2 linked regions of the Elephas maximus indicus genome follow. The protein of the gene in region 2 interacts with the protein of the main gene of each other region in a pairwise test. Links are inferred from orthologs where the notes say so. Each region holds a gene or a part of one and is shown on either strand. Other genes may lie near its edges.

Region 1 (7,937 bases), on a different chromosome or scaffold from region 2:
GTTGTTTCTAATTCTGAAACTGCATATGTGCAGGCACACGTGATGCAGAATGTAAGGGTTGCCATGGTAAGTACACGTCTTTTCTTGGACAGCCAAGTTAAAAAAAATACATAAAGAATGCTCATCTCATAATATGTCATGGAAATTGACTCTGCTTTCCCTGACATTTTAACATATTAGTATGATGTAATGCAGCAAAGGACAGAAATAGCCCACATTTAAAAACTTAAGCCCATTCAGATGACTTATAAAAGATGGAACAACAACAACAACAAAAAGACAGTAACAACAACAAAAAAATCTCCAAGCCAGGTAACTTTAATTACACATTGAGTCTGGATGCAAGTTCTACCTCCACTTAATTGTGAAATAACTAGACCTCATGACATTTCACAGGCCTAGCCAACTCTCCAGGAGTCCAAACACAGGCATCAGGACATGGCTAAACATCATTTTCAACATAGCTTTTAGTCTCAAGACTTCTATTTTTAAGGAAAAATAAAAATCGTTCTTACACCCCTAGTTTCTTATTCTCTCCCGAGTGAGATCAATGGTTTCCAACTGGTAGTGACTATGTTCTGCTCTGCTGTCTTTTGCAAAAACATCTCATGGTGGATCCTGTAGAGTCCGAGGAAGTCAGCTTAAGGACACCTGGATGGAGGCGTGACACTTGGACTGGGGAGGTGTCAGAATTCTGTCGCGAATCACAGCAGGTTCTGAGGCTCTGGAGAACCCACGTGTTCAGGGATTGCAGAACTTTTCTACCGCCTATCCCAAAGGAAACCCCTCATTTTAAGTAGGGGGGTGGCCGGGACTGGGCTTGGGTGGAGGCGGGAGAGATTGGTGGCTTTGAAAGAGAAATAGCAGATTTCAAGTCCTTTACAGGTGCTTTACCTTTACCTGTGCTTTTCTTCCCTCTATTCTCTCCTCCAGCCAACTTTATTATTTATTCCTCTTACAGGAGGAGGACTTGAGCAACCTGGAGGCTGAGGATCTCATAGGCTCAGCCTGGAACAAAGAAAATCGAGTTCCTAATACTGTATCTCTCGGGTTGGAGGGATCACGTGTCCTGCTTTCGCTGGAATGCACTCTTCTCGCCCACGCTATAAAATCTCTATTGTGCTTAGAAATTTTGCCCAGGTTAAAATATGCTCACAAACAAATTGCTTTTCATCCATCAAGAGAGCTACATCTCAGCGTACACAGGTACACATATTTACGTGCTGACCCAGTTACCACTGCAGGTAAATTGGTTGTGTTCAAAGGGTGCTGGGAAAGTAACGGAAAAGAGCAGGTGGAGGATCCCTGTATCTCACCGGTCCCTTCCCCCCCTTTCTGAATCCTTTTGAAGGAGAACTTTGAAATGAACGTGGGAGTCGCAGATGGTTCCTTTCTGAAACCCATTCCCTGGAGTTGTGAAAGTGACCCCTTCCCTTCTCCGCCTTGCGCTGCGCCCTCTCGCCAGCCTGCTCGCTTTGTGAATTGGTGGGGAGGAAAACAGCGAGGGAGGAGATAGGAGAGGGCGGAGGCGGGTCCTTTATTCGGCCCTGATGGCCAAGAAGTAGTGTAATGAAGCAATTTTGTAGACATTTCCGTTATTATGAAGTCACACTGTTTGAAAAGGCATTCTATACAGCTCCCACCCCCATCCTACTTCTTGACTCTACAAACATAAAGACTAGAAACCTCCGCTAGCCAATCTAATTGTCGATAAGCCAGGGTGCCATGATTACCGTAATGTTAAATGTGCCTCCCTCCTTCTTTCCACGTAGGACCGGAAAGACGTCCTGCATGCTTAACAACTCCGAGGTGAGGATGCACGATGCTGAAGGGGGCCCAGCGCTGCTACGGGGAATAGAGCAGGTTCACCAGCTTCGCGGTGCAACACAAAGGAGATGTGTAGGCATGAGTTCTCTGGAGAGGGGGAGGGAGGCATCGTTCTCCTGACTTCCAGAGAAAGCTTTCGCTCCACCGTTCCCCCACTTCTTTCCGTCCACCAGTCTTTCGGGCTCCACCGTCCCCCCTTTCCGAAACCCCACCCTTTCTCTTTGGTCCCCAATAACATAAAAATCTTCTAATTGTGTTTTTCAAACAAATAGACACGAAGGCAGTAATACAACATCTTCCAAGATAAAAAGACAAGTGCGACCAGCCACAAGTGTGTGTGTGTGTGTGTGTGTGTGTGTGTGTGTGTGTGTGTAGAGCGATCGAACAAGCGCTTGATCCCTGAGACACGGCCGGGGGTCGGGGGGGGGGGGGAAGCTACCTGGAGATATCCAAGATAATAAAGAGAAGCAAAGCCTAACCTCAGCTCGACAAACGGTCCAGCACCAGCGTTCAACACTCGTTCTTTACCTTTCGCTTTCTCAGCATGTAACCCTTTAAAGTCTCCTGGCAACCCAGGCCACTCGGTGCTCCCATGCACCCACCCGGCTAGCACCCATTCCAAATGCCCCGAAACCTACCACATCACCGCCACCGCTGCCGGCAACCGCACGAGCAGCTGAAGCGAGCGCGGGAGGCTTTCGCTCTCCCACCCCCGCCCCCGGCCGGCCGCTAGGGTCCCACACCTCACGCGCCCACGGTTGCCGCTGCTGGAGGTGGCAAGGCACCCGCAGCCCCCTCGGCCACCAAGCAAGAGTGTTCTACTCACATCGCAGGCGGGAGAAACTGCCCATGAGGTTCCCGCGAGCGTCACTGGTGCAGCTGTCAAGGGGTTATTCCTTAAAGTGTTCCGGGGTCCGCAGTGGAGAAGGTGCGAGGGTCCTCGGAGGAGGAAGAGAGCGGCGGAGGAGGAGCTGGAGGAAGAGGAGGAGAAAGGGGATTCCAGGCAGGAGCCACGTTAGACCATGATGACAGTGCCCTTCAGGTAGACGGCTGGAGAGCTTCCCGCGGGAAGCAGCCGAGGGGAAGCCCGATGCGCGGGTAGGGGAGGCAAGAGCGCGTCCACTCCCCAGCCTCCGCCAGCCCTGCGCGCCGCGCTGGCGACCGCAGCGGTAGCGGCGGCTGCGGCGGCCGCGGCGGCGGCGGTGGCGGAGGCGCAGCTCCCTCCCCACCCCCAGAAGGCTCCACAGACAATAAATCCTGGGCGGAGAAGAGACGAAATGGAAAAGGGAATCTTGCACCCAACTCCGTAACCCCCTTTGTCGGCTGCGGCACCTCTACCGGACAAGGATCCCCGGGGGCCGGGACGCAGCGGGCAGCTCAGAGGGTTCGTGCACTCTCGCCGCTGCAGGCGGCGGCGGTGGCCGGAGTGGGAGTCTGCAGGTACCGCCGGTCACAACCTGCTGTCCGGGGCTGGGTGCCCGTGGCTTTACGCCCGGAGTTCGCCCAGAGAGGGAGCCTCCTCGGTGCAGAGGCTAGGCGCACAGGTGCCGGGATTGGCAGGCGAGGAGGCGCCGCTTGTGGCTCTCCGCTGTGTCTCCCCGCCCCCTCTTCTTTCCCACCCCCTTTTCCGACGACACCAGCTGCAGCTGCTTCAAAGTGTAAAAAATGTCAAGGAGATTTTCCGACAACAAAAGGGGGGTCCACGGCCACAACCCTCAGGCCGTTTTTGCGATTTTGGCCTATCCCTCTGACCTCTACTCTTGCTCCCCTAAATTGTGACAAGAAAATCCCAATCCGGCCGAGAATTGAAATGCTCGCCTTCTCCTGGCTCCGACACAGGCTGTTTCTTGAGAGTGGAACGCCAGGCCGAGCTCTCTGGGCTCCTCGTGTCTCCCGCGGTGCGCGAGGCAGGTGGCACGAGGCACGGCGCCCGGCAGCGCTCGGCCGCCGGCTCCTCCAGCTCCCGGACGGGCCGGGGACGCTGGGACAGCGCAGAGTCCTGCAGCGCAGGCGACTCGCCGGCAGAAGCGGCTCCGGGCTTCTACGCCTCCCTGCGCGCCCCTCCACCGGCACCAGTTTGGTGACGCTGCGCTCGTGGCTCCTCAGGCTGCTGCTTCTGCTTTCTCAGCAAAGAGGCGGCCAGGAGCGCCTCCTCGGGGTTTCCTCCCCCGCCCGCCTTTCCTGCTGCAGGTTGTTGGCTACCAAGGAGAAAAGTCAGTGGTTGCAGGTCGGGTCGCTTCCCGTCAGACGTGGCAGCGACCCATATGCCTGCTCTAGGTCCCCTTCTCCTCATTCTGAGGCGGGGTTGCTACCCTGGCTTTGTGCAAGAAAAGAAGGGATTTCTCAACTTTCCTTCATCCACCGCCCCTCCTCCAGCCAGCAACACGCTCTGTCTCACACTCACACACACTCGTTTTTATCTCACATAAAGACACACAGAGACACTTCCTTCTCGTACACTTCTCTTTTAAACTCTCATAAGCAGCAGATTAAAAAAAAAAATACATTGATGAAGCTAGAATTATGAAATTAGTACAATATTTAGACGTTTCCTTTATTTTTTAAACACATCAGATGAATACTTATTTTTAAAATGTATTTATGATTTACGAATTATCCTGAAACCTTTTTTTTTTTTTTTTGGTGGGGGAATGGTATAGGCTATACGGTTTTTGTTTCTTCATTAAGGAAAGGAATTTTCCCTTTTAGTTCTCTAAATTGCCAAAAGAGTCAGACCGTGGCCTTCAATTGCCACTTCTCAGTGGATTTAAGGTAACGGTTTACTGAAACAAGAATTTTTTTTTAATTGCTATTGTTCTTAGATTTGAAATGCTAACAGCTTCAAGGTCAAAAATCATCTTTTCGGGCTGCTAGGGATGGTCTAGGCAAATCTGCTGCAAAAGACCTATTTAAAGACTTGGAAAACCAAGATGTCACTAAGGATGTCACTTTGAGGACTAAGGTGCGCCTGACCTAAGCCATCATATTTTCAATCACCTTCTATGCATACGAAAGCTGGACAATGAATAAAGAAGGCCAAAGAAGAAATGACCCATTTGAATTATGAATTTGGTGAAGAATATTGAATATACCATGGACTGTCAGAAGAACAAACAAATCTGTCTTGGAGGAAGCACAGCCAGAAAGCTCCTTGGAAGCAAGGATAGTGAAACTTCTCATGTCATCATGCTTGGTAAGGTGGAAGGTCAGCAAAAAACAAACAAAAAAGGCCCTCGCCAAGATGGACTGACACAGTGGCTGCAACAATGGGCTCAAACGTAGCAAATATTGTGAGGATGGTGTAGGACCAGACAGTGTTTGTTCTGTTGTACTTAGGGTTGCTGAATTGGAACTGACTTGATAGGACCTAACAACAACAGGGATGGTCTACGAAGAGACTTTGAGACTGGCACCTAATCTGCAGAGTACCAAGGAGGAAGGTTCTTTCTCACTTTATCTGGGCCATGAAGATGGGCTGTTTTTTCGAGATAACTCCCCAGTATTTCATACAATTTACATATAGACAGGGAAAGGAGTGAGAGGATGTTTTCATAAGTCACATCATTTTTAAAAAGTGTTATGAAACTCATCACAGAGAAAGGGTTCTGAAATGGCAGGGAGATTAGAAAAATTTTTTAAAAAATGTTAAAAGGACAAAATTTGTAATTGACCTCAGCTGACCTCTATTTTTCACTCTTAGGTTTTTTTTTTTTTAATTAATTGTGCGTTAGGTGAAACTTTACAGAGCAAATTAGCTTCTCATTAAACAGTTAATACACAAACTGTTATGTAAAATTGGTTGCTAGCCCCTTGATAATGTCAATACTCTCCCCTTCTCCACCCAGGGTTCCCTGTTTCCATTCCTCCAGTTTTCCTGCCCCTTCCTGCCTTCTCGTCTTTGCTTTTTGGCTGGTGTGTCCATTAGTCTCCTACACATGATTGTAATAGGAAACACATTCCTCATGTGTGTTATTGTTGGCCCTATAAACCTGTCTAATCTTTGGCTGAACAGTGAACCTCTAGAGTGACCAGTACTGAGTTAAAAGGGTGTCCAGGGACCTTACTCTCAGGTTCCTGCAGTCTCTATCAAACTAGCTAGCCTGGTCTTTGTGTGTGTGTGTGTGTGCGTGAATTGGAATGTTGTTTTACATTTTTTCCCGCTCTGGGACCCTCTGTAGTGATCTCTGCCAGAGCAGTAAGTGGTGGTAACTGGCCAGGCACCATCTGAGCTCAGTCTGGTGGAGTTGTCCATTAGTCCTTTGGACCAAACTTTCACTTGTGTCTTTGGTTTTCTTCATTCTCCTTTGCTCCAGCCAGGGTAGGAACAGTAGATGTATCTCAGAAGGCCACTCGCAAGCTTTGAAGATCCCAGAACCTACTCATCAAAGTAGGATGTAGAACATTTTCTTTATGGACTGTTATACCAATTGACCTAGATGTTCCCTAGGAACACGGTCCCCAGTCCTCAGGCCAGTAGCTCTGCCCCTCATAGCATTTAGATGTCTCTGTGAAAATTATAACTTTGCCCTGGTCAAATTGTGCTGGCTTCCCCAGTATTGTGTACTGTTTTATCCTTCATCAAAGTTACCACTTATCTACTATCTATTTAAGTGCTACGGCTGCGAACCAAAGGGTTGTCAGATCCACCAGGCGCTCCTTGGAAACCCTCTGGGGCAGTTCTACTCTGTCCTATAGGGTCGCTATGAGTCGGGATCGACTCAGCGGCACTGGCACTGGCTACTATCTAGTTAGTGTTTTTCCTTCCCCATTCTACCCTTCCCTTATAACCATCAAAGATTGTTTCTTTCTGTGTAGAAACATTTTCATATGTTTGTATAATAGTGGTCTTACAGTATTTTTCCTTTTGTGCTTGACTTATTTCACTCAGCATAACACCCTCATGTTTATCCATGTTGTGAGATGCTTCACAGATTCATCATTGTTCTTTATTGTTGCATAGTATTCCACGTGTGTATGTACCATAGTTTGTTCATCCATTCATCTGTTGATAGGCATTTAGGTTGTTTCCATCTTTTTGTTGTTGTGAATAATGTTGCAATGAACATGAATGTGCATATGTCTATTTTTGCGATGCCTCTTATTTCTCTAGAATGTACTCCTAGGAGTAAGATTGCTGGTTTGTTTGGTATTTCTATTTCTAGCTTTTAAGGGAGTGCCACATTGTTTTCCAAAAAGGTTGTACCATTTTGCATTCCCACCAGCAGTGCATAGGAGTTCCAATCTGCTCACTTTTCCAACATTTGTTATTTTTTGTATTTTTGATTCATGCCAGTAATGTCTGAGTGAGATGGTATCTCATTGTAGCTTTTAGCTGCATTTTTCTAATGCCTAGTGATCATAAGCATTTCCTCACGTGTCTGTTAGCCACCTGAGTATCTTCTTTGGTGAAGTGCCTTGTCATATCCTTTGCCCATTTTTATAGGTGTTGAATTTTCCTGTAGATTTTAGAGATTAGACCTTTGTCAGATATGTGATAACTAAAAATTTTTTCCCGGTCAGTGGATTCTGCTTTACTCTTTTGGAAGTCTTTCGATGAGTGTAATTGTTTTAATTTTTAGAAGATTCCAGTTATCTAGTGTCATGGATTGAATTATGTCCCCCCAAAAATGTGTGTATCAACTTGGTTATGCCATGATTCCCAGTATTGTGTGGTTGTCCTCCATTTTGTGATTGTAATTTTATGTTGACAGGATTGTAACACCACCCTAACTCAGGTCACTGCTCTGATCCAAGGTAAGGAAAGTTTCCCTGGGGTGCGGCCTGCATCACATTTTAGGTCTTAAGAGATAAAAGGAAAGGGAAGCAAGCAGAGAGTTGGGGACCTCATGCCACCAAGAAAGCAGCGCCAATAGCAGAGCTCGTCCTTTGGACCCAACGTCCCTGCGTGAAGAAGGAGCTCCTAGTCCGGGGGAACATTGATGAGAAGGCCAACAGAGGGAGAACTTTCCCCTGGAGCTGATGCCCTGAATTTGGACTTTTAGCCTACTTTACTGTGAAGAAATAAATTTCTCTTTGTTAAAACCATCTACTTGTATTTCTGATATAGCAGCACTAGATAGCTAAGACATTTGAATTAGTTTTTGTGTATG
Region 2 (7,757 bases):
GACCACCGCCAAATCCAGGCTGAAGAGTACTTCATAATTGCAACACTTGACATCTACTTACCCTCATATAAACTGTTCCATAAGGACACAATAACACGTTAGATATGAGGAAAGGTAGTGTAAGGAATGAAGCTGTCCAGTGTGACGATGAAAACTGCCAGACAGGAACACAAGGCAGGCACAGCTACAAGCCTACAAGGAGGCATTTTGCTTTCATTCATGTTATTTATTTGATACCCTTTAGATTCTCATGGCGTCAGCTTGATATTTCAGTGTAGCATGCAGTAATGCAAATAATATATTTAGTGTATGGTATACAGCCGCAGTTTTCACTTACAGAAAGCACAAGTTGTGGAAGATTTCCTGAAACAGAAGGATGGCTTAAATCAAGGGGCAGCTATATAGCTGGTACCTCCCTAGAAGAATCTGGCTTTGAAATAGGAGGAAACTACAATCAGAGTGGCTCATGAGAACTGTCACAAGTGGGGCAGGTACCCTACAGTAATCAAAACCACAACGAACATACCACAGTGTCTTATGTTCTCATGCCTCCATTCTGGATTAGGTAGAAAAAGAAAAGACTCAAAGCTGAAGAAGGACTTCTAGGGCAGAGGTGATTGGGGCGGGGGGGCGGTCCATTCTGAGTAATTACTAAATCTGTATCCTTAATAAGGATATAATCTTTAACAAAGGATACTATGCCAAATATGTTCTACTATTACTTAAAGTCACTAATAAGAAATATGGAATCAGTATAACACCCAGAAGGAATTCCCCTCAGGCCTTCCACACCCCTGGGTGTATGGCAGAAAAGGGGCTACCTTAAGCTTGCAGTCTAGGCATTCTTCACACAGTCTGAGGAAAAAAAGGACTTTAGAACTTTAGGCTCAAGCCTAGGCTTATGGTTAAAGTAGGAGACGGTCAAAGTGGGGCAATAGACATGATCCTTCTAAGCTCCCCAAACATTTATTCCAGAAGAATTGACATGCTGCCTGAAATGTGTTTGGGTGATACAGTTTTAAGTATCTGAAAGAACTAGTGGTATTCAATTTATATGGTTCTTAACTTTTGGATCATGAATCCCTCTGAGAGAGAAAAGTTATGGACTCTTAGAAAGTTATGACTACCCTTTCACAATAAACATTCACACTTATACATTATAAATAATCTCAGGGGGTTGGTCATTGTCTGCCAGGAGCCCAAGTTAAAAACCTCTGCTTTATGGCTTCCAATTTTAAGGCAATAATGGTAATCACTTAAAGATGAACAAACATGTTGATGTGAATGAATGGAAAAAGTGGATGGAGGACTCGAGAATTTGAATAAGCCTAGAAGGGATTAGTGGTATTAGTTGGAGAGAGTGGAAGGCAGGGGTATTCAACAGGGTCAGAAGCCTGGTGACCCACTGGATTACATGAGTGATACCCATGGTGCACTGAATACTAGAGGCTAGTAGACTATACTGCAACAAAATCTGCTTCAGCCTGCTTCCTCAAGCTGCCCTGTGTGCTTAGGCTAGTTGTGATTCCACACCTGCTTATGCCAGAAGCTTTTCCTGTATTTCTATAATGTAATTAAATACCACATAAACCTGTGAAAAAAATTACTGCATTAAAAACCGTTCCTGTGAAAACTAAGTCAAATGCTGACTTAGACATGACACAACGGGGAATACATTTTTATAATTGTTGAATTGGGAGTGAGCAAGACAATTGTAAAAGATTGGGAAGGGGGAATCTTAAAACCAAAACTGGAATCACAGATGATATATTATGGGTATAGTACATAGAGGCTTTCATCTGTAAGACTGCAAATTAGAATTACCTGGGAAACTGAAGGAAAAAAAAAAAAAGCCAGGCCCCGTTTTCCCTTTTTGTGTTAGTTTGGACTGGGGTCCTGGCATTGGTAGATTTTAAAAGTTCTCAGGGTTTCAGAATCACTCTTGTAGTTTATACTAGAAAGACAACTGGGAACACCAATCAGCCGACTTAGACTTACACAAAGAAACCATCTTGGCACTATACCAAAATATTGGTGAAATGAATGTACTTTTAATTATGTTTAAGATATATAGGCGTCGTTTTTTTAAATTCCCAACTCTGTTTTGATTACTGCCATCTACCAATCCTCATCATATAACATAAAAGGGCTTCCAGTGTATGGCGAGAAGTAGGTTCACAGGATAAAAGATCTGATTTGGGCCCACATTACCAAGTAGGTCTCATCTTGAGTCTTCTTTCAGTTTAGAAGTCTCAGATGAGGACGCAACACCAGGAACCTCTGAGGACTCGAGTTCTCACTTTCCTGGCTGGTTTTCTGAGTATGGCTGGTTAGGGTGAGAAGGGGCAGTTTCTTGTTAACCCTTCATTCCCAAAGGTCACTGCTCCCCAGAAGGCCAGGTACGTGTGTTGAGGTCGCCAGGAAGTAGCCATGGGGGGGGGGGTAGGCCTGGGAAGGAAACGTTTCTCCTGTCCTCCATTTCACAAGCAGTCTAGGAGGCTCTGAACTGGGTCAGAGAACAAAAAGTTGCTACACTTGGGGCGATGAGCCCCGAAGAGCAGGCGAATCTCAATCTTCCCCTCTTCAAGGGCGTACCAACCCAGCCTCCCCCTCCTTACACACCCACTCACCCTACCCCAGATACAACAGGGAGCCGCAAAGTCCACAAGAGAAAGGAGGGAGCGCCGGCGGCTTCGAACCTAGAATTCTCCTCCTTCCAGCGCGGGGATGGGGCTCCGGAGGTCGGGGATCGTAGAGGGTCTGGGAGGGGAAGTCGAAGGAGCTGGGGATCACTCACCGCAGTCCGGCCCCGGCGGCGGCTCCCAGCCTCGCACCATGGGCCGGGGGGAAAGGGGAAGAGGGGGCAGGGGGCCTCCGGAATGAGAGTAAGGTTGCTGCCCCGCGCGGCCTCCTCCGAGCCCACCCGTGCGGAGGGCCCGGACCGGGACTGACCCCCCCCCGCCCCCGAGAGCGCGCCCGTCTAGCCCAGCCCTGCTCGAGCGAGTTGGAGGCGGGGCGGATGGGTGGGGCGCGCGCCTAGGGGCGGTGCCAGGGTGGCCCGAGTTCTGATTGGTGGACGCAGGCCGGCGGTCACCGGCGGAACGTACTGGGTCGGCTATTGGCTGTACGGGCCTTGACTGAAGTCAGCTATTGGCTCCGTGAGCCACCGGCGGCGTGGGCTATTGGGTACGTGGGCAGGGAAGCTGCCCCGCGGGGCCACCCTCATCCTATCGGTGCCGAACCGTGGAAGTACACCGGCCAATGTCCCTCCCGGAATTCCCTGGGGAGGGGCTCGAGCACTTTGCCGAAGTGTCCAGGTCGCCAACAGCTACCCCCGGCTGTTTCCTCCTGAGAAAAGCACTCTAGGAAGCCCCTTTTATCATCCATTCCCTAACCCTAGAGTCCCTGGGTTGTGCAACCGGTTAGCGCACTGAGCAGCTAACCGGAAGGTCGAAGATTTACATTTACCCAGAGTCGCCTGGGAATAAAGACCTGGGAATCTACTTCTTGATAAAAAGCTCTTGAAAACCCTGAGGAGCACAGTTCTCTGACACACATGGGGTTGCCTTGAGTCAGAGCAGACTCCAGGGCTGATAGTCTGGTCCCTAGCCCTATGTATGTGCAGTGACTTCCCCAGCCGAGGCCCAGTCGTCACCAGCAGTCAGCTCCAGCAAAGCAACCTAAAGCAAAAAGGAACTTGTTCTGGAGATGAATCTGATGTTTCGCCGCTCAGAAAGTTGAGGATCCTATGATCCCGGTGTCTCCTGCTGCTTCCCCCAGACAAGTTGGTACCAGACAGGTTCCCCGAGACAAAGTGCCTGAGGGGTTACCAGTTGGGACCTATCAGACCCTCCGACCCACTTCCCTGCCTCTGTAAAAACCGGGACCTCTGCCTCATATTTGGAGACCTTGGTTTTCATTGTCAAGAAAGGGCTGACAACGAAATGGATTTTCCCCCAGGCAGTATGCCACACGCTAGGAAGTTCTGGACCAAAAGTTTGTATATTTAGAATTGTTTATCTTCTGACTAAAATTTGGGAACAATGTATTTCCGATGTGCCTCTGTTCTTATGCTGGTCTTTGAAATAGTCTCTTCTTGCTTATTTAGGTCACTTAATAGCTTATGTAGCTACAATAGTTTAGAAAACAATTCCACGCTTTACGCTGTATTCTGCAGGCCTCACCAGCCACCCCCACCCCCACCCAAGAAAAAAAACAACCACGTAACTCCTACTTCTCATTCTTCATTGGTCCACTTTTAAGGCTGGAGCTCTTTGAGGGTTGCCTGACATCATAAACATGTCTCTCTTTCAGTGCTGACCCTATTTTCTGTTACTGGCCTTGTATTTGCCTCACCTCTCCCTCTCCCTCCTTACGCTTAATAACAATATCCAGTCTTACATACAAGTTGGATGTCCTTCCAAGTATTATCTGGCAAAACATCTTAGGGGTAAACAACAGAAGCATGTATACTCAGCTTTAGGGTTAGAAACTTTTGATCCCTCAAGGTAAGAGCCAGGTGTATACAGACCTTCTAAATCATGGCTATTACAGTCCTCCAATGGTTTTTATTTAATGAAGGAAGGGAAAAATGAAACATTTGAGGCAGCAGCAGCCCTCAGTTTCCAGTGGAGAGGTCATTCTGTTCTCATCCAAACAATTAGTAAAACTGGATTGACTGGGAAGAAGTCATGCTTGTTTGGCTGGAAAGCTGACAGGAACTGGCTGTGGGAATGAAGCGCCTGACCCTGGAGGGTTAAGTGAGTCACTCTGGGCATCACTGACTATGGGCTTGGAATTATGAAAGGTGAATAACTCAGCTCCCTTTTTTGTCTGAGAGTTAGGAGTGGGGGCAGGAACAGAATGGAAGACAGATTTAGTAGAGAGAATGCAAGGAAGGGAGAACAAACTCCCTTGCCCCAATTCTGGAGTGCAAATTGAAGCCTCCCTCTTCTACATGTGTTTCACCCTGAAGTTTTAGAAGATGGAGTGATTTAGGGTAGGAGAATAGAGAAGAGGAAGAGGTCCAAGCTGACATTATCAGAGAAGGGAAGGTCCCATCATTAGCAAGACAATTACCCTCCCAGCTCTTCCAGGGACTGCTGTAGTGCTAAGAATAGGGACTCATCTTGTTATCCTCAATATTAGAGATGTTAATCCTCCATCTTTGGTGAAAACTCTCTCCCCCTGTGGGGTAAAGAGTGTAACTTTACTCAAAGTAATTTGGTCTTTGCCCTTGTTTCTTGAGAGATATCGCTAAACTCTTGGAGTTTCCTGACTAACTGAGGTGCCTTTATTATCTGGGGAGCTTTGGTGGCATAGTGGTTAAGAGATCGGCTGGTAACCAAAAGATCCGCAGTCTGAATCCACCAGCTGCTCCCTGGAAACCCTATGGGGCAGTTCTACTCTGTTCTATAGGGTTGCTATGAGTCAGAATCCACTTGATGGGTTTGGGTTTTTTAGTTTTATTATCTGGGGCCTTGGTGGCACAGTGTTTAAAAGCTTGGTAGCTAACCTAAAGGTCGGCAGTTCAAACCCACCAGCCGCTCCTTGGAAACCCTGTGGGACAGTCTATGAGTCAGAACTGACACCATGGCAATGGGTTTGGTTTTTGGTTTATTGTGCAAATGAGTGGGGGACTGGCCAGGCCACGAAGGCCACCAGGTGGCCTTGTAGCAGGTGACCTCTCAGACAGGGAAGGGGTCATGATTCAATCAATAATGCGTATACAATGAGGCTCCAATAAAGAATATGGACATGGAAGTTCCATGGGCTTCCTGGTTAGTGAAAGACATCAGTGCATGGGGGACTGTAGCACACCCTTTGGGACATGGAAGCTCTGTTTTGGGAGCCCTCCTAGACTTTGCCTTTTGTGTCTTTTCATTTGTGTCCATTTTTTCTATAATAAAGCTATAATCATAACAGTTTCCATGAGTTCTGTGAATCATTCCAGCGAATTATCAAACCTAAGGGAGTAGTGGGGGTCAGCAAGTCAGAAGTGAAGCGGGGAGGGTTATGGGAACAATTAAGCTTATGGCTGGTGTCCTGGAGGGATAGTAGCAAAACCCCGAACTTGTAGCCAGGAGACTAGAAGTGAGAGCCTGGGTGAGACCCCCAAGCTTGCAGCTGGCATCCTCAAATGGTAGTGGAAAAACTCTGAATTTGTAGCCTACAAAGGGCAAAGTCTGGGAGGGTTCCCAAGACAGAGTTTCCATGTCCCAAAGGGCATGCTTACATTCCATATAGAACTACGGGTGTCTTGTGGAATCCCAAACTTGCTGCTGGCATCTGGTCTTAGGCCCACCTGGCAGTCTGGAGGTCTGTGGGCTTTAACTTTTGAGATCTGACCTAACTCAGGGTGCTTAAGGTCAGAGGAAGAAGTGCTGCATGGGGAGGGTGTCAGAATTGAACAGAGAAGTGAAAAGTGGGGATGTGTTATATCCTCAAAGTTGCTGTCAGGAAAAAGTGGCTATTTGGTATTATATAGTTGATTATTTATCCACTCACCTCCCTTTCTTGGCTCAGATATTAGCAAGACTGACCAGAGGCACATTTCCCTGTAGCTTAAGAAGCTGGAGTTTCAGGGCCCTCCCTTGCACAGACCTCTTTCCAAGGCACTGGAGGGGACCCAGCAATATGCTCACATGGTAATAGGTTTTTGTAAAATTTGGAAAAAAAAATTTTTTTTAGCTGCAATTGGTTAAGATAGGTGTCTCTTTCCTTTCTGGCTTTCCTTCCATCACACTTCCTCTTTTGTCAGGTGGCAGTGGAGAGGGGCCACAGGCATTTTAGGATTGGCTAAGGAATTTGAATTGAGGATATATTTAGTTTGGGTTTAGTAGGTATATTTATGTGGTTTGCAATTACTTCTGTGAGTAAATTGTCTTTGTGTAGGTATAGCTCCCAGGAATACTCTTAATGTCGTCAATTCAAAGAGTATAATACCATACAGTGAAACCTGTGAGAGCCGGAACCTGAAGGACTGCTTTGTATCTCCAGGTCTTGCAAGTTTTCTGCCTTTGACAGTGCATTCTTACTATTTTTCTATTACTCTCTATTTCGTGGAAAATATTTGAGTTTTCCTTCTCTGACAGGTTTCCACCTTACACAGGTTCCAGCTATCACAGGTTTTATTGTATAACATTAGAAAAAAAAAACCTGTTGCTGTGGAGTCAATTCCAACTCATTGTGACCCTATAGGACAGAGTAGAACTGCCCCATAGGGTTTCCTAGGAGTGGCTTGGTGGATTTGAACTGCTGATCTTTTTGGTTAGCAGCTGTAGCAGTTAACCACTACACCACTAGGGTCCCTGTATAACATTAGTCATTGCAAAGAAAATTTGAAATGCTATGACCACATATATGGAAGAAACTTGTCAGAGGTTTTCCAAAATGTGACAAAAGTTCTAAAAATATATAACTTCACCACTAACAAGATGTGAAGGTGAAATTTTTCTAACTTAGCAATTAAAAAAAAAAAAAGTAATGATCAGCCATGCAAGAGGAAAGACTGAATTACCTTCCTATACTTTCTATAGAAAACATTATATATTATCATCATGAGAAAAGCCTATTGAAAAGCATGCAGTTAAAAAAAAAAAAGTATTATGGTTTTGCCAGGCAGGTTATTTTAAAAATGTGTTATTTTTCTTGATATTGCGATATTGTCAACTTCTTAAAAATTATAATTTGGTGTTATCTTTTCTCATTCTAAAAAAGAAAAAATCCACTTTTGTGCTTGATTTTGTATTTGTAAT

The links.
Region 1: the proteins of HOMEZ (region 2) and LRRC7 interact in a two-hybrid assay, tested with the Homo sapiens proteins (2 studies listed by BioGRID). The two-hybrid records come from large-scale screens. The link is inferred for Elephas maximus indicus from reciprocal best matches to the Homo sapiens genes HOMEZ and LRRC7.

Annotation. Positions count from the first base shown.
Region 1 is NC_064821.1:115,849,530-115,857,466, reverse strand, and holds the start of LRRC7 (leucine-rich repeat-containing protein 7), read right to left. Parts: upstream 3,013-7,937; 5' UTR 2,656-3,012; coding exon 2,654-2,655; intron 1-2,653.
Region 2 is NC_064828.1:34,618,175-34,625,931, forward strand, and holds the start of HOMEZ (homeobox and leucine zipper protein Homez), read right to left. Parts: upstream 3,010-7,757; 5' UTR 2,838-3,009; coding exon 2,798-2,837; exon of another isoform or gene 2,700-2,797; intron 1-2,699. UniProt on the Homo sapiens protein: May function as a transcriptional regulator.